3 linked regions of the Arabidopsis thaliana genome follow. The protein of the gene in region 3 binds, or shares a complex with, the protein of the main gene of each other region. Each region holds a gene or a part of one and is shown on either strand. Other genes may lie near its edges. The genes, in order: BUBR1, AT2G20635 and MAD1.

What was found.
Region 1: MAD1 (region 3) and BUBR1 share a complex: the UniProt entries of both Arabidopsis thaliana proteins name them as parts of the mitotic checkpoint complex.
Region 2: MAD1 (region 3) and AT2G20635 share a complex: the UniProt entries of both Arabidopsis thaliana proteins name them as parts of the mitotic checkpoint complex.

The regions. Positions count from the first base shown.
Region 1 is NC_003071.7:14,212,982-14,217,965, forward strand, and holds BUBR1 (BUB1-related (BUB1: budding uninhibited by benzymidazol 1)), read right to left. Parts: upstream 3,074-4,984; 5' UTR 2,938-3,073; coding exon 2,738-2,937; intron 2,650-2,737; coding exon 2,590-2,649; intron 2,474-2,589; coding exon 2,329-2,473; intron 2,241-2,328; coding exon 2,083-2,240; intron 2,002-2,082; coding exon 1,917-2,001; intron 1,828-1,916; coding exon 1,758-1,827; intron 1,682-1,757; coding exon 1,621-1,681; intron 1,504-1,620; coding exon 1,329-1,503; intron 1,235-1,328; coding exon 1,149-1,234; intron 1,075-1,148; coding exon 988-1,074; intron 893-987; coding exon 829-892; 3' UTR 623-828; downstream 1-622. Other genes in the region: GALS1 (glycosyltransferase family protein (DUF23)), read left to right, coding at 4,380-4,984. UniProt on the Arabidopsis thaliana protein: Essential component of the mitotic checkpoint. Required for normal mitosis progression. The mitotic checkpoint delays anaphase until all chromosomes are properly attached to the mitotic spindle.
Region 2 is NC_003071.7:8,898,531-8,904,272, forward strand, and holds AT2G20635 (protein kinase and Mad3-BUB1-I domain-containing protein), read left to right. Parts: upstream 1-1,829; 5' UTR 1,830-1,879; coding exon 1,880-1,932; intron 1,933-2,031; coding exon 2,032-2,179; intron 2,180-2,346; coding exon 2,347-2,504; intron 2,505-2,601; coding exon 2,602-2,692; intron 2,693-2,782; coding exon 2,783-2,896; intron 2,897-2,987; coding exon 2,988-3,075; intron 3,076-3,294; coding exon 3,295-3,398; intron 3,399-3,475; coding exon 3,476-3,547; intron 3,548-3,621; coding exon 3,622-3,711; intron 3,712-3,800; coding exon 3,801-3,958; intron 3,959-4,082; coding exon 4,083-4,137; intron 4,138-4,215; coding exon 4,216-4,350; intron 4,351-4,446; coding exon 4,447-4,568; intron 4,569-4,664; coding exon 4,665-4,854; 3' UTR 4,855-5,168; downstream 5,169-5,742. Other genes in the region: PIA1 (PP2C induced by AVRRPM1), read right to left, coding at 1-35, 133-369, 1,086-1,118; AT2G20650 (RING/U-box superfamily protein), read right to left, coding at 5,424-5,642, 5,725-5,742. UniProt on the Arabidopsis thaliana protein: Serine/threonine-protein kinase that performs 2 crucial functions during mitosis: it is essential for spindle-assembly checkpoint signaling and for correct chromosome alignment. Has a key role in the assembly of checkpoint proteins at the kinetochore.
Region 3 is NC_003076.8:20,280,410-20,288,193, reverse strand, and holds MAD1 (mitotic checkpoint family protein), read right to left. Parts: upstream 6,084-7,784; 5' UTR 5,890-6,083; coding exon 5,695-5,889; intron 5,619-5,694; coding exon 5,519-5,618; intron 5,419-5,518; coding exon 5,258-5,418; intron 5,174-5,257; coding exon 4,976-5,173; intron 4,879-4,975; coding exon 4,786-4,878; intron 4,681-4,785; coding exon 4,564-4,680; intron 3,982-4,563; coding exon 3,734-3,981; intron 3,385-3,733; coding exon 3,213-3,384; intron 2,517-3,212; coding exon 2,406-2,516; intron 2,322-2,405; coding exon 2,118-2,321; intron 1,864-2,117; coding exon 1,701-1,863; intron 1,414-1,700; coding exon 1,323-1,413; intron 1,227-1,322; coding exon 1,157-1,226; intron 844-1,156; coding exon 715-843; intron 632-714; coding exon 593-631; intron 509-592; coding exon 419-508; 3' UTR 110-418; downstream 1-109. UniProt on the Arabidopsis thaliana protein: Required for the execution of the mitotic checkpoint which monitors the process of kinetochore-spindle attachment and delays the onset of anaphase when this process is not complete.

The sequences.
Region 1 (4,984 bases), on a different chromosome or scaffold from region 3:
TATAGAATTTCATCTTACGCATAGAATTTGTTTTTTGTTTTATTAGAAATCTTGACTCAGTCGTATAAATGTTTAGCTACGTACTTAATGCAATACTTTGCATTAAAGGGAACCCTTAAAACCCCTAAAGGGTAGATTGTGAAATGAAATGATGCCCCTACCACTAACACCAAATAAAATTCCCAAGTTTTTTTTTTCATTTGCCCTTGTTTACCACTCAAAGTCTATCTCCAAAATCGCATCATTCGTTTTTAATCATTAATTTAAATGGCTATTAATGCTTGATTATGTTTTATGCCCCCTCCCATCCGTTTAAAGCCACTTTATTTTCTATGGAAGAAATGCCCAATGGATTGATTATCTTTTCTAGTTTGTACCCATCCATACGTATCCATTGATTTACAATGAAACTCTAGAATTTTTCTAAAACAAAGGTACGCTAGTTGCCTAGACGACTAGACCAAAAAATTATTGGGATCACAAAGTCACTTGCCATATAAACCAATGACTTGGCCACATTTAGGGCATTATTAAAATGATTCCTTAAGTTTAATCATAAGTGGTAATCTAGGTTAATTAGTGGAAATTGATATAAAGTTTTTTTTTGTAGAATGATTACTTTAGGAGAAACAAATCATATAAGGATTGAAACAAGACAAGTCACATTAATTTCAAAACATGAAAGGCACATCATGGTACATAGTAGGATAGTATATCCCAGTACATCACAAAAACAAATCCAAATAGGCAAAAACACACAAGGAGCTTTATAGACAAAAGCTCAAATCTCAAACCATAAGATCGTGTAGAGAAGAAAGTCCAATATCATCATCGTAGGAAGCTGTTGGGTGGGAAATGTCTTAAAGGGTTCTGTCGTAGCAGCTCTGTTTCTCTGCATTTTTTTAAGTAACCATTGTTAGATCTCTACCAAGTCATGATATAATATTTGTTTGGTGAATGAATCTTTAGGGGAATTTTTTTGCTTACTTTTTTATCTCACGGCCGCCATTAAGGGGCAGAACGTTTGATGATGATGAGATAGTTTCATCATTCTTCTTCTTTTCTTCTTCCTCTCTGCATTTCAGAATCATGTTAATGGTGGAAACATGTTTTGTTCAGAAAACTTCTGAAAAATTAGTCAAACTTACTCTGTACATTCTTCTTCATCGACAAAAACCTCAAAGGTGGAAGCAGATGCTGCTGCAACAGTTCTCACAATGGGTTTCTGAGGAACCTGTGACAATAAATATAAATGCAGTTAGTGATCAATTTATAGAGATAGTATGAGCCAAGTGAGATAGTTTTGTTTAGGAGGGTAGAGGGAAAACCTTGAATGATGCCCATTTTCTAGGTAAAGAATTGTTTTCTTTGTTCCTCTCTGCTCTGCCTCCAAGCATGAGCCAACTACCAAACTCTGGTCTTGACTTGTCTGACTCTGGTTGATTCCCTGATGTGGTGTCTGAAACTGCATCTGCGTAGATAGCAAAAGGTGTCTTGGATGATCTGCAAAAGACAAAGTTGCTTACCATAGTGAGTTGCAGAATAATTTAAAGGTATGAGTTGATAGAAAATGCAGATAATGAAAACAACGAGAAATATAGAACCAATCAAACTACTTACTGATTTGGCTTTAGCTTTTTGGCTTGTGGGTTAGAACTTCCTAACGCCTGCCTTCTTGCATCTACAGAAAACATTTTCATGTAAGATAGCTTACCAAAACATTTCAGTGGTTTCCAAGTTAAGTTAATGTGACTCACTATTATCTCCCCTGGACAATAAAGTGCCAAAGCTTCTTGACGGTAAGTCATTATTCTCCTTTGGTTCCTGCTGGTAGGTAGAACATTAATTATGATTAGGAAAAACCTTAGTCCATAATGAATAGATATAAAGTGTTACAAAGAGACAAAACTTTTTACTTCATCAGCTGTGTTGGACCTTCTCATCGTTCTCACCATAAACTTCTTGTACGCGTCATTCAACTTTTCCACTGGCTTTGCATCCCTGCACAAGTTCCCACTTTCAAATCAGACCAATAACTTGGAGCCGAAACATGAAAGTAAGATTACATATCTGTTCATTTACCTAGAGATTCCAAGATTGAAGATCTCATTAGCAGTTTTGACCTTATTCTTAAACTCAATGTGCAAAGCATAAGCTATATAGTAGACAGCATGTGTCTTTCCAATCTCATTGACCTCCAAAAACTTGTAAATCACTTCCGCATCAGCGCAATGCTCCGCCTTCAAAACACACACAAAAACTATGAGTACTCTCTCCATAACAAAGAAAGAATCATCTAGAGGGTTTAATTAAAGATAGAATCATTACATATTCCAACCAGACTTTAAGATAACGAAGATCATCCTTGTAACGTTCAGAGTGCCAAAATTTACGAACACATTGCTCATATATCACTAACAGTCCTGAACATTCTCCTCCTGGTGGAAAAGCCTCTTGTACCCATTTTATACACCTTCCAAAGAAACCAATTAAGAAGCTCAGTTTACAAATTGGTCACAGCATAAAGATTGGTTCAAGAAAAATTTCAATTTTTCAACAACCCAATCAAGAATGATAAAAGGAACTCACTCTATCCATGGAGATAAAGGGTCATCTCCTTCATACTCATCAATGGCTTCAATCAAATTCCTAATTCACAAAAACAACACAAAATTAGACAAGAATCGAGCGATTAGACTAAAACCCAAGAGCAAAGATGTGAGATTGAAATCAGTACCTGCGTTTCTCGATGAGATTCTTTCTCAATTGGTGGTCAGAGTGAGATTTGAGAGCGTGGTTGAGAATACCAACATTGCGACCTCTCTTCAATGGCCGGACGTTCTCCTTGAAAAGCTCCCACTCGTATCCAGTCTCCTGCTTCGAATTAAGAAACTCTGCCTCTGGATCTGAAACCTGAACCTTCGTTTCGGCTGCCATCGTCGTTTCTTCGAGCAAATTTTGAATATCAGAGAGAATATAGCCGTTAGTTTACTCAATGAGAGAGCTTCGCAACTTTTTGCTTTGATGTACGCATACTCGGAGCGTATAGACGCTTTTGATGGGCCTAACTTAGATGGGCCATGATTTGATTTCTTAAACCCATTAAGTGGCCATCTAAACCGAATTGTGTATACTCCTACTACAAATAATCGATAAGAGAAGAAAAATGACAATGAGCGAAAGTAAAATAGTAAAAGAAATGACAGAATACACTTCATTAATTCAATTGGCTGAACAAAATAACACAATAATCCAGAGAAAATTATTTTTACTGTTTTGTTTTCTTCTAAATTAGATGGTTTTGGTCTTTTGGAGAATAACAATCAAAGCAAAAGATAAAAGAGAAGATGTACTCTTTTTTTACCTTCTTTAAATAAATTACGAGCATAATTCACTTTTTGACTTGGAAGCTAAAAAAAAGTTCATCCACAACCACAAGATGCTCTCTGTCTGTCGGTTCAACAAGGGATGATCACATACATTGCGTTACACGCTAAACCTAGTGTGCTCAATTATGAATTCCTAAACAAAACGTACTCAAGATTAGAAGTTGTATACAAAGTCTGTTTTTCCATTGTAACAACTTCCACCGACAATAAAACAGTAACAGTTTATTGAAGAAAATGAAATGAAGAAAACATAATAAAAGAATTGATATTTATGGTATCCTTCAGTTTGGGAATGTGACACACATGATCTCCTTTATTGACGTTTAAGTTTGGAAAAAAAAACAAGTCTTTAAATGCATGCAATCGTATTCGCAATCAATATACATTTTGCTTGTTATTACTAAAGTCTAAAACTAAAAGCCTTTTGCCGTACGTTTAAGAATTCCATAACTGGAAGAACAAATCATGTTTTTAATTCAAATGTTTAAAACAAAGTCTACATTCAAAGGAATTTAGAACACACTTTTTTTTTTTACTTTTTGCTGGGAATTCACAAACTCTTTAACGAGTCTATTCACATTTCACCTTTCCGTGCCCAAACTCATTCGATTTCTCTAACCGAAACTAAATCATCACCAAAGAAGGTACACCGTTACGCCAACTTGCCCAAAGGACCATGTGTCCCCACCATGCTGCCAATTGGGAGCCAGCAATACATAAAACAGACTTGATCCAACTTTTTACAAGTTAGATGCAGTGTCTTTTTCGTAAATCATAATAGATCCAAGCCCATTCTCGTATAACCTCCACCACATCACTCCTCATATCATATGTGAGACAGCCACGAGTCTTCTAATTTCTACACGCCGTGTCGGCAAAGCCTCTCGTCACTTCTCTCTGACGCTTGTCGTCACTTTTGAATTTTTTTAATTTTTAAATAATTGATAACCGAAACGGTGCGTTTTACTCACCGTCGTCGGGAAAAAAAACATGAGGAAGGAAGTTTTGCCGCCGGTGTTATCAACCACCACAGTATGTTTCGAGAAGAAACCAATAATTGCTACATTACTAGCTCTCTCTCTCGTCATGATTGTCTGGAACCTTCCTCCTTACTACCACAACCTCATCTCCACCGCTCGTCCCTGCTCCGCCGTCACCACCACCACCACCACCACCTTACTCTCCTCATCGAACTTCACTTCGGCGGAGAATTTCACCACCTCTCTCTCAACGACAACTGCAGCAGCTTCTCAGAAGTACGATTCAACTCCCTCAGATCCGAACAAACGCGTTTTCCAACCGTTCGGAAACGCGGCGGCGTTATTCGTACTAATGGGAGCTTACCGCGGCGGTCCAACGACGTTTTCCGTTATCGGACTCGCGTCGAAACCGATCCACGTTTACGGAAAACCATGGTACAAGTGTGAGTGGATATCTAACAATGGAACTTCGATTCGAGCTAAAGCACAGAAGATTCTACCAGATTGGGGATACGGACGAGTCTACACCGTCGTCGTCGTCAATTGCACTTTCAATTCAAACCCTAACTCCGATAACACCGGAGGTAAACTCATTCTCAACGCTTACTACAACGA
Region 2 (5,742 bases), on a different chromosome or scaffold from region 3:
CTTATAGCGTTTTTCGTATCAGTCCAAAAATCCTTCTGAAATAAGTGAAACAACAAAAACATTTTAAGTCTTATCAGAGACATTATAGAAATCCATAAAAACAGATTCATGCATGCTTTAAACATGAGTTACCTCTTTGAGTATGTTATCAAAGAGATTGGTTTGCAAGTACTTGGCTACATCATGCCCTAAGTGACCATCAAAGATAGCAAACAAACCCAAATCATGGCCGTCTACTTTCTTGAACTCAGACACAACATAGTCCTCCATCGGATGGCCCGCTTTGCCTTTCACAAAGTCATAACCGTGTGCGATGTTCTTCCACACCTTGGTTTTACCTCTGCCTGTGTCAGATCCGCATAATCCAACCTTCAAATATTCACACCCAAACAACAAGAAATTATACTATTAGTTTCATTTTTAAAAAAAACTTTTTTACTACTCAATACATTATAATCATTTTATTCTTAAGCTAAAAACATAAGTTGACAAATAACAGCAAAATATAAGAAGAAAAAAAAAAGCAAATATGAAAATAAATGAGAAAGATAAATTATAAAATCAAGTTTGGTTTGATAAACAAAAAGAAATTCAAAGTTTAGACATTTAAAGAAAAACAAATGATTATTAGATCCACATAACCCTTTGTAAAGACTCAATTTCATGAATAAAATTCAGCTTGCAGAACAAAACAAACAAAAAAGATCTACATAATCCAACCTTTACCAATTCACACCAAAACACAATCACATTAATCCAAGTTCTGTAATTTCTTCATCAAGAGCAACATACATACATTTCATTATCACCAAATCTCTAACCAAAAAGAGAATATAGAAAATGCACAAATTACTGAAACAAATTCAGTAACACAAGCTCTAGAAGAATCAATATCATCGTTTAACATGCGAGATGCTAACTTCCTTAAAACGGCTCTACGTACAAGTTATCACAAAGAAACAAATATAGCTTAATGAGAAACAGAACAAGACATACAAGGATCAGATCACAAAATCAAGATTCTTTAGAGCCCTTGAAACGCTACTAAAGAAAAAAGAAAAAGACTAGCGTTGAGCTAAGCATACCTTCATCTTATGGAGAATCTCTCTGCCTGCCATTGTTACAAGAATTTGTTTCTCTGCCTTTGTGTCTGAAATATGAATGATTCTAAGAAAGAAAAACAGAGAGATGAGTTTATGTAATAAATATGAATGTGAGGTAATCAATCCACATGTGAACAGCCGGTGATTCTTATCATTATTGGCTACTGACTTCCTCCGCCGACGACTTTTCTTCTTTATATTTTTCTCAAGGCAAAAGTATTCCCTAAACAAATTCTCTCTATTATTATTTGCTACATTCTTTCACATTGCCGACAAAATAAAACATTACTTTTAAAATAAAAAACTGTTATTTCGTGCACATCATCTCATTCATTACATTATTGATCGGAAAAATATTTTTTTGTTATTACTTAAAATAACAAGACATTATTTTATCAGTTTTTCTAGTTACTCTGTCATGACAACATGTGCAACAAAGAAAGGAAACTTTATCTTAAAAATATTTTCAAACAAATTCGAACAAAATGACGTCGACAAAAAGAAATACGCGTGTAAAAGACAAACCACACGCAACAAAGGCGCGTTTAGCGCGTAAGACTAGAATCCGTGGACCTGAAGCGCGTGGGCCGGGATTTTCATTTGTCTTAACTGAAACAATGGGCCACATAATTAACAAAATAGGCCCATTTACACTTTTGGGTTATATAGAATATTTGCTCTGGTCCAACAAATTTTGAATTTCGAAAGTTAATTTTTTTTGAAAAGCTTCACTTCCCACTCTCTCTCTCTCTCTCTCTCTTCCTACGGCTGCGAAAATGACAATCGGTTACAGAGACGCCGCCGGAGACCCGCTCTTCCCGTGGCTTATGTAACTCATGCTTTATCCTTCCTTCTCATCTAACTAATTGTGCTATATGTGTCAAAATGGATTCTAATTTTCCGATGTTGTATTTTGGGGTTTTCACAGGGAGATTAAAAATTCGATGGAGGATCTATACGCTGGTAAAAATTCCGGATACGATCTCGATAAGCTTCTATTTGATTGTATCTCAACTTATAAGAAAGATTCTCGGTACCGAAATGACCTCAGATTCCTCAAGATCTGGTTTCTCTATGTAACTTTACTAAAACCCTCTCTCCCAACTTGTTTGAGCTTAAATTGTGCTTTTCTTTCCTCGATTGTTTGTTTGATTAGCATTCTTAGGGTTTGGGATTGTTATATTGCGAATCAACTGATGTAGATGTTACAGTTTGGGGGTTAAATTGTTGAATCTCTTCTTAGCTTGAAGGCAGGGAAGATTTTGAGAGGGTTTATAGAGAAATTGAAGAGACTGAGATATGTAAAGGGCATTCGTTGCTCTATGAATGGTATGCTATTTTTCTTGAGGTCAAAGGATTGTGGCGAAGAGCAAATTCTGTTTATCAGACTGGTCTTTCAAGGTCTCTTATCTTTCTCCTTGTTCTGTGGCTCCTTCCTTATCTTTTTCCTCTAGTTTGTGGTTTCATTTCTTATTTGTTTCTCATTGGAGAATTGTAGGAAAGCTGAACCATTTGACAGGTTAAAAGAGGCTCACTCATTGTTCTTACAAAGAATCTCTAAGAGGACCAAAGCATCTTCCCTTGAAAAGGTTTATTTTTTAATTTTAATGAGTAGCATATGGTTATTCTAATGCACTTTGATAGCTTTAGTTGAGGATTGAACGTTTTCTTTCTGGCAGGTTGGTGATGATGCTCAGGCCACTGACTTGGAGACGGGTTTTGTGAATCCATGGGAAACATCCACTGTGAACGGCTTAATTCACAAGATAAAACCACAGCTTGTGAAATATGATGTAAGGCTGATGGAAAATCATGATATTTTACATGATTTAACTTATATAGGGAGGCTTGTCCACTGAGTTTCTTTCTTTATGTTTGCATCAGGGGTACCATGTAAGCAACAAAGTTTTCCCTGGAAAGGCCAACCTGTCATCTTTGCAGAATTATTCCAGAAATAAGATCATTGAGATAGGTATACTTTTTTCATACCAATCTAGTCTGTCACCGCTACAGGATAAAGAATCCTTCTTTTTATTATAAGATGCATTTTTCAAATTAAAAGTGGCTGGGCATGTATTCATTTGTGTAAAAGAAATTGATTCCCGCTTTGTTCTCACCTGGGACAATATGTCTTCTCTGAGACTAAAATAAAAAAAGTGACCTGGATCCATTGGCTCTGTCTATTTGCTAGGTGGAAGAAAGTACCAGATGAAGGGCTGTGCTGGCCAAGGTGGTTTTGCTCAAGTGTTCAAAGCATTCATTGACAGCAATCCTGATGAAGTAGTTGCTCTAAAGGTAGATAGACCCTTAAAGTTTTTTCAAATACAGTATGATGCTAAATGCTCATATTGCATATACAAATCTCTTCACAGGTACAAAAACCACCTTTTCCTTGGGAATTCCACATGTATCGCCAACTTGATTGCAGGATCCCAGATAGCCAAGTATGCCCTTTTCCATTAATATTACCAGTTCACAGGTGTTTCACACCGTACTAATTACTCTCATGCTATGTTAGAGATCAAGTTTTGGATTGGCTCAGAGAGTGCACGTGTATTCAGACTACAGTATACTTGTCTGCGATTATTTATCACACGGGACACTCCAGGTAGGTGGTATCTTAGGACTCTCACGGACTGAATATACAAAATGCAAACATAGTTCTTTGCTTCATTTGCCTTCTTTTTGTGATTTAAGGACGTCATAAACTCGTATGTCGTTGTTGGAAAGTCCATGGAAGAAGTTTTGTGCATGTATTACACAATAGAAATGCTGAACATGCTGGAGACTTTGCACAGTGTTGGAATCATTCATGGTGATTTCAAGCCAGACAATCTGCTGATCCGATACCCTCCGTAAGTTTATTCCGCTCCAATATTGCTGATTAGATTGTAGATAAAGACTTTTTGGTCATGAAGCCATGTACTTGTATGTTAACGATCGTGGCAGAGACTGACATACCTCACGGATTACTTGCAGAGAAAACCTAACTGAGACAGGCTTTCATGAGAAAACAGGTTCTTGGAGCAAGAAGGTAAATCCCTTATACAACTACTAGTACTCTGATTTGTGTGTGTCCACAATCTGATGCAACTTTTCATTTCTACCTCAGGGTCTCTGTCTTGTTGACTGGGGTAGAGGAATAGACTTGAGCTTGTTTCCTAGAACCACCGAGTTTACAGGAGATTGTCGTACCTCAGGCTTCCGTTGCGTGGAGATGAAGGAGGATAAACCTTGGAAGTTTCAGGCAAGTCTTTAAAATCACACTGCTTCAGCAAGAATTTTTCTTTGCATGATTAGACTTTTAACCATTCGAGTCCATTGTAACATGTGTTATATATAGGTGGACACTTATGGACTATGTGTAATCGTCCACATGATGCTGCACAACGTCTACATGGAGATCGAGAAGAAGCAATCTCTGGACGGTGGCTACATTAATATGCCGAGAACTTCATTTAAAAGGTCTCAAAAGAATAATTCAACTTCATTTGCTTGTTTTGTCTCTCAAACAAAAAAAAATTATTGTTTGGATATTGAATCACTAAGTTATTTGCTCAGATACTGGAAGGTGGATCTGTGGAAAGAACTGTTCACGAAGCTGCTCAACAGAGAAACGTGTGAAGATGACACAGAGACACTGAGGAATCTGAGAAAGTCAATGGAAGAGTATATATGCTCTGATCCTAAGCTCATGAAGAAGCTTAACGAGTTACTCGCCAAACAACGCATCTCGTTATGCTCTTCGTAATCTTCACGCAGTAATTAAAAAGTCTCTGTATAGTGTTTGTGAGGAAAAAAGAAAGAGACACTTGGGAGACAATGATTGCCTCTCAAGTAACGCGTAATTTGTGGTCTACGATGATTTATTATTGAATGTATCTAACACATCTCTGGTTCCTACTTTGTATTTCGTATCACATGGTAAGTATAAGAGAGCAATCTCTCATATCATCAAGGACGAAGGAACAAAAATATGTGTAGGTTTGGTATTGTTAAAAGGTTTGACCCAAAAGTAATTTTAGTGTATGTAAATGATTGTTTATATGTTGGAGGATTTTATTGAAAGAATGGGCAATGAATATGCAGTAAAGAGATTGACTTATTACACAGTTAATCTAATGTCTACTCCTCCGACAAATTCTATCTATGCTCTGTTTTCATCTAATATCTTTCCAAGACCTGAAACCAAAGAAGAACCCAAAGATGTTTCAGTGTAAAGATCAGTTTAATAGCCAGAACCTAGAGCATGATTCAAGAAGCTGTTACCTACAATAAAATGTGAGTGCAGTTAATAGACGATTCCTAAGGAACCAAAGGTTAAGCTGGAGGAAGTGGGCGACGACATGTTGGGCACTCCATCTTTATATCCATCCATCTCTGTAAGCATCCCGAGTGGAATATATGCTCACACGGCGTTACCATGCAATCATTAATACGGTGTCTGAGATCAATCGTGGTCATGCAGATTACGCAGTCCCTGCTTCGGTTTACATTATGATCGAGTCTTCTGTAGTAGCTGTATTTCTCAGGTAGCAACTGCCAAATCAGAAGCAAACACATGAACTAAAGACAACTAAGCAATTTACTATCAATCTACAAAGTCATCAGACCAACGAACCTTTCGAGGGACAAAGCA
Region 3 (7,784 bases):
CACAACATTTATTCAAAACAATAAATAAAAACTAAACATGTAATTATATTATAAGTCGATATCAATTTTGCTCTAATCTTCTTTACATGTAGGTAGTCTGTGTATTATTTGTGTTTTAAATTCATGGTTATATAAAAATCTGTTTGCTTGATATTCAAGTGTTACTGTTTTTGGTGACTATAAAGTAATAAACGCATAATCAGAGAATGACATTAGATATTCTTTCTGAGTAAATCGAAACTAGTTTCTTTCATACCAAAATAGAGTTACTGACACCACAATTATAGCAGACATAACGAACCAGAGGTAGACATAGATAAGGCCAGTGTTTTAAGCTGCGGCTTTCGAGTTTCAGTTTCTATTCAGCAGGCTTTAGAAATATACAAAACACAGAGTTGGAAATAAGGACGCAGTGCTCTCAATATAGCGTCCGACGGTTGAATGATTCCATCGTTAAGTTGGCTGTAAAAGCTGGAATCGAGTTGAATTTCCTGATGAATATTTCTATCTGCAAGAAACACACAGAATGAGTTTTTACACTTCACTGAGAACACTGCGCTTATGAAGGAAGAAAACTATGTCTGTACTTTACCTGCTTCGCTATGTCGCCCTGAGAGGCATACTCATTGTTCTGAAGGAATTAAATCAGTATCAGTTGATTAACTGATTCAAATGCAGCATATCAAAGTTATACAATTTACAAGAATCACTTACTAGAATACTGGTGTTTCCTGACTCGTATTCAAACTCGAGTTTTTCATCATCACTTTGAGCATATATAGACTGGAGAGTAAACCGAGTCACTGGGATTCCATTGGGACGCTGATGTTCGTCCATTACAATCTGCCAGAGTTTTCAAAAGGAATTCACAAGTTTACAAGTTCTGTAGATGAATAAGACTCTTTGATCATCTATCTACACGAATAACGGAAGGTAAGGAAAACTATAGATAGCAATAGCTGAATCCCTCTTTGCAACAGAAACGCGCAGTTCATAGACCGTAAAAAATGGACAAAAGTACGAACATTACATTTTACAATGTGATAGTCAACATTCAGAAAACTGAAATATCCAGAATCATTGCCTTCAGGGAACCATTGTAATGCTAAAGAATAAAATTTGAGTGCTACGACATAATTATGAGCAAGTGGCATACCTTATAACCAAAAAGCTCACAACAAGCCCTTCTAAACACGGAAATTCTATCAGCAAAAACAGTTTTGTACCTGTTTCATAATTCATAGGCTCCACATATGTTTTAGTATGGGAAATCAAGGTCATATTTGCACAAAGGACATGTTAAACATTTATCAGTAACAAACCTCTCTTCACGTTTTTCAAGCGTAGCATTTTGCTCTTTTAGTTGAGCAATCTTTCCAGTTATATGAGAGTCAACTAGCTTCCCAGCATCTCCTGAATATTCATGAAAAAGAATTTACAGTAAAGCATATTTAGTAAATAAGAATAACATTTTTGAAACACTACAATATTTCTTCTCAAGTCCTCCGGAGGCAGATCAACAGAAAGATTTTGGCCCTCCCTTTTATTCTCGGAAACATAGAATATGATGTAGAGAATAGGGTCACAGAGAAATTAAGGTATGCTTCTCCAGTGAATTTTGTGGTGAGAGTAAAATTGAATGGTAGACTTGTAGCAAACTCAGTATCAAAAACAGGAAAGGTCGACAATCAGAAATTTACCAGACTGGCTCTTTAATTCTTCAACAGCTTGAAGTCTTTCTTTTGTCTTCTGTAACTCAGCTTGTAAAGCCTCTATTGTTTGTTTTGCCTCGTTTTCAACACCAAGAGTATTCACCATGCGCAAAACCCTTGTATTTGCGGCAGAATAATCACCATGACCCAGCTGCCAAATATATGTTACTGTTCAGATCAAACTCTAGGGTAGAAGTTAGAGGTCCTAAATAGCATTTCTATTCGCTTTTACAATAATAAAATCTTCCATGAAACCTAAGAAAAACATAAGATGCAGGACATAAAATTCGCCATTCACCCTTAAAAACTTTTATTATTCATTTCGACCATGGCAGATGAAAGTTCCATAAGCAAATATTTTCTTTGGCAATCTTTTTTACAAGCACACATCTCTAGCATCTGTACCTTTGACTCCAGTAAAGAGATCTCAGAGCGAAGACGATCACTATCCCTTTCCAGCGACTTATTCCTCCTTGCTTCATCAACTAGTTTCTCATTTAGAAGTTCTATTTCAGTACGTTGACGATTATTGACATCCTTCAGTTGATTTAGATCCTGCTCTAAATCCTTAATATAGTTCTCCTTCTTTGCAAGAGAAGATTCAAACCCCTGTATATATAAGCAAAATAAGCTTTATGCTTCCAACAAAAAAGAAGGAAAATCTTCAAAATAAGAACTGTGTTATTCTAGAACCTGAATAAGGGCTCCATCTGCGGCTCCAGACACAGATCCTTCACTGTTTGACTTCCTTAATTCATTAACAACAGCTTTCAACTGTTCTTTCTCCTCCGTGACCAAAGTGAGCTTTATTACAAATTAAAGCTCTGTTAGTAATAGTGCAACAAACTGATAGAAAATTATAAAAAGTTACCTCCAATGAGACACTATAAACTTAATTCCCTTGAATTGTGATAGATTCATGATTAAATAAAAAGTTGTTTGCAACAAATTCTATACTACACACATTATCTCTTATCCTGAAAGGACACTATATTATGGATAAATCAACTCATCATAAATTCGTGATAGACTCATGTTTGGATACGAAGGAATTTGCACCAAAATCTAACAATTGAATACACTCATTAGGAACAAACAGACTTTCCCCACATATATAGAGATATTAAATCTGTACTAATTGATAACAAACCCAACGTGAACATCCAAAAATACTAGGGATATTATCCTATGAATATCGTCTCTAACTATATTACTTCTATCAGCTTCTTATGAATGCATAGATCAACAATCAACATGAAATACAGAGCTGAGCTAGTATATATCCAAGCAAAGACAGTGAACCTAGAGAAACCAAGCAAACAATCAATAAACAAGAATAATGAATATAAAATGATGAGCATTTGAGTGTCACCAATTGAAAATGCTATCCTTTATCTCTCGAGAATCAAAAATCAACTTAAGAGGCTTTAATTGATGCCAGCAAAATAAAAGTGCATTTGTGACCCCTTACAGAGCACCAGCAACAATTTTCAAACTTACCATTACTTCAATTCTCTTCACGTCTGTTTTGAGAGCCTCAGATTTCTCTTTCGCTAATGCAGCCTCACTTACAGCATTCTGTCTGCCAAGTTGTATAGCCTCCAGTGTCTCCTCCAGTTGTTTAATACGGGTACTTGCTTCCCCAATCTTCATAGTGCTTTGAACCACCTCACTTCAAAGGCAGAAACACAAGTCACTAGGAAGTATCATAGATACATGTGTTAACTCAGAGTGCTTGGTAAACTAGAAATCAATACTCTAGATGCTCACAGACACATTAGACCTGCTAGACTAGCAAGCCAGAATATCTGTAAAATATAAAGCCATATCTGGACAAAGTGGTGTTACAGATGTCTCTGATAAATACTATCTAGTTCACCTATAAAGTCAGGAAAATGCCCCGTAACAACTACCTCAGTCTCTCCGCACAGAATATTTCATGGCAGGCATAATTATTTGAAACAATATCAGAAGAAGACTCTAGTGAAAAGATAAATTCTGTATAGATCATGTTGACATACTTCTGTAGCACCGAGAATCTCATAACTATGTCATCAGGACAGGACACACCAGGAATGTCATTTAGCAATGACTTCCAAGAGGACAATTCATTCTCCAACTTTTCCATGCTTAGCTGCAAGTCATGAAATTTTGATAACTCTGACTCTGCCCTCTCCCTACGGCTTTGTTCTTCTAATAAGTTCACATTCAACAACTCCGCATCTAAATGCCGTGATTTTAACTTTCTAGCTTCTCGCACTTCAGCTTCCTGATACAATTATCAAGAATCAAAATCGACAAGAAAAACAAAAACTAAATAGATATTACATGGAAAGTATAGAAGTCGAAAATAGAATCTACAAATAGTACATGTCTTCAAATGATGAAAAGTATGTGAGTCGAATTTACGATCAAATTAAAATTTGACTTGCATAACTAGTGTTACATGAAAAATACATCATTCTATATTACCTCACTTTTCTTGAAAAGTAAACTCTTTTACTTATGAATTGTCTTAGATAGCCTAAGTAAATAAGACGACCATTTTAAGAAAAAAAATTTAACGAGTGTTTTGAGTAAATTTCAAGTGTTTAAAAACTTGCATAATCTCTCTCCGTGATTTGCTGCTTATGAGAGTAATCAACAGAAAATAGAAATCATTGATTCTGGGTATGTAATGCAAAGTTTCTCATGGTAATCAAGAACGAGTACAGCTTCTATTGGTGAATAAAACAGAGAGTTATGATCAATGTCCTGACCACTTTCATACTCATTTTCAATAAATGATTCATCTTATGTAACAACTTTGTAAAATCATTACTCGGGTAGACTAAGAACTGGTAAAACTTACATAGCGTTTAAGTTCTTCCTGAAGATGTTTAACCAATACACTGTTATCTGAAGAAGATGCTGCCTCCGAAGTGAATGACGATAGCTTCTTGTCTACTTCAGTCTTTTCTTGCAAACACTGCATAAAAAGAATCATATGAGAAAGCAAAATAAATTACCAAAGCAAATGATGACTTATGACTGGTGTTATTATTATCTAAGATGCACGTCAAACATAGCTTACCTCGTCAAATATCAGTTTAAGATGCTCCAGTTGTGATCTTAAAAGATTTGATTCCGTCTCAGCATTTTGTGCCCTACATTGCATCCTTTCAAGCTAAAAGCAAAGGAAAACAGGTGCAAATACGATAATTGCATGAGAAACCAAAAACAAAACTTCAGTCAAGCTATCAAGTTTCTTAATCGATACTTACATCTGCACCAATCCTAGCCACAGAAAGCTTTGCTTCTTTACCCAGTTGAGCAATATCATTGTTGAGACGTTTCTTCTCCCTGTCCACACTTCCAGATAGCTGAGTTAGTTTATCCTCCAAAAGTTTAGCTTTTTCCTCAGCTGTTGCAGCAGAAGACTCCGCTTTCTTTCGAAGGTTCATTTCATTTTGAAGTTTTACCTATAAGGATTCAGTTAATGATACTGGCACCAATGACACCAAGTAAAACGAGAAATTTCAAGTCAATTTAATAGTTAGATCAACCTCCAGTTCATGGCAAGATTGTAGTTCTTTGGTATACCGCTCTTGAGAATTGTTGATCTCCATAAGAAGCTGCTCCTGAAGCATTTTCTCACGCGCTTTAGCAGCAGCAAGCTCTTGCTCTGAGTATAAGAATTTATCTCGAAAATGCTTTCTTTCAGCATCTGTTGTAGAATATCAAAATCAAATTCGTTAACAACAGTTAAAGCAGAGACATTCGGAATCAAGACCTTTGTAATTTCGAATTCACAAACGATCTCTCACCTGCTTCGGTGAAGTTGGCATTAAGAGTCTGTAATTTGGTTTTAGATTCCTCAACTTGTTTCTCTGCTGTGCTCAAGGCATCTAGAACATCAGCTTTAACCTAACAACAACAAGAACAAACCTCAGATTCGCTAATCTTCGTGAGGGGATATAGATAGATAGGTATAAGTAGTGACCATTTGGCGGCATTGATAGGTGCAAAGATGTTGATCCGCCGAATGATCATGAGAAGTTTGTAGCGGAGCAGGAGCAGGAAGAGGAGAATCTTCGTAGATGATTAGCTGATTGCCGGAACCAGTAGCGCCGGTGGGGAAGGGGCTTTCTCCGGCGTCGGACCTGAGCCTCTTCGGCTGCGGAGTTCTCAAAATCATGTCTGCGTCGAGAAATTAGGGTTCCGTTCTCCGGGAAGCGAGAGAAAAATTATTAGGATTTGAAAATTGAAATTGCAGAGGCGCCACTTTTTTTTCTCGAGTTTGATGAGAGAGCGTAAAGACGGAGGAGCTAGGCCGTGGAAGAAACTGGAAAGGCTTTTCACAACTATTAAATTATTAATCCTTTGTTAATATGTGTCTATTTTGATATATGATTTTTTGCTTTGTTAATTAATGTCTTATACGAAATTTTGTATGAACAAGATGATCAAACTGTTGATTATAATTTAAATCTTTATAAATTTTGGGTTATTAGATTCATCCTACTATATTATTTGGGAAGTACATTTTAAATATAACTTTAATTTTTGTAAGTAATTACATAGGTATGTCATTAGAAATAAAATTTTAAAGAGTAAATTAATTTATCTCTTTGAGGATTAAAAAGTCAAATACTAATTTAATTAATTAAATTTAATTAAAAACGAAATACATTATTAATTTCCAAAAATAATAACCAATCAAAATCAACATATAAGATTTGATATCTAAATTTTAATTAATTTAATTTAATTAGAAAAACAAAATACATTATTAATTCCCAAAAAAGTAACCAATTAAAATCAACAAATTAGATTTGATATCTAAATTATCATATTAATTTTTTATTAATTATTATAGTTTACTTCTCATCTTTATATGATTCTATTTTTGCCGAAAAATAATATCATCATTATAGAAAAATAATTAGAGTTTTTTCGCATATGCCATAATTTGAATTTTTAAAAACGAATATAAACTGTTCAATACATGAAAAAATATTATAACGGGTGAAAAATAGATTTAAGAAAACTTTCTACTGAGTAACATGTCATAATTTGAAATATTTATATTCAATTTCATACATATTATATTGAAAATTTATAATCTTATATACTACAATAATTAATAACATATTAGATGTGATTCAATTTTTAATACAAGCTGGAAAATCCTAGAATTGACGGGATTAGATCGATATTAATACAAGATGGTATACTACAGGTGAAACTCTTAAATTAACAATCAAACTACAAGTGTATAATCTTAAACACTAAACAATATAGATAATATCAAAAAATATATACAACTCACAGTTTACTATACATTTAAAATCAAATAAAATAATATCATATATTTTTAAATCATCTTTACAATAAAAGTTTTTAGTTGAACTAAAATATAAGCCTACCTGCGGTATACTGCAAGTTAATATCTAGATTACAGGGCTTATTGGATCTAAAGACAACTCATCAAAGATTTCCTAAACTGAAGCAAAATATACTGAATATTCAAATATCTATCTGTTACCAAATTATAAACAAATAAGTTCGTAAAACAATTTAATATTTTATATACGAAATCAACTAAATCTTAATCACATAAAATTAGCACAAAAAAAAAGTATTCAACAATTAAAAATTTATCAAATCTCTATATAAGTTTTGATACTATATTCGAATAAAGTGTAATATACCTTTTCAATTTGTATTCTTTAACTAATTTAAGCGAACTAATATATTTGCTAATCATATACCTATCAAAACCGACTATCGTTTCTTATCTCTATAGTATATTTGCAAGACTTTTTTGGTGGATTTGGATAAAAGTGCATATCGTCCTACTATATTATTTGGGAAGTACATTTTAAATGTAACCTTAATTTTTGTAATTAATTACATGACAATGCCATTAGAAAAATTTAATCAAAAACAAAATCTTTTAATGACATCATTAAGATTACCAAAATCATTTAACGACAATATTCATCTCTTAATTATAGGGCTTATTGGATTTAAAGACGGGTCATTAAAGATTTCCTAAACTGAAGCAAAATATACTGAATATTCAATTAT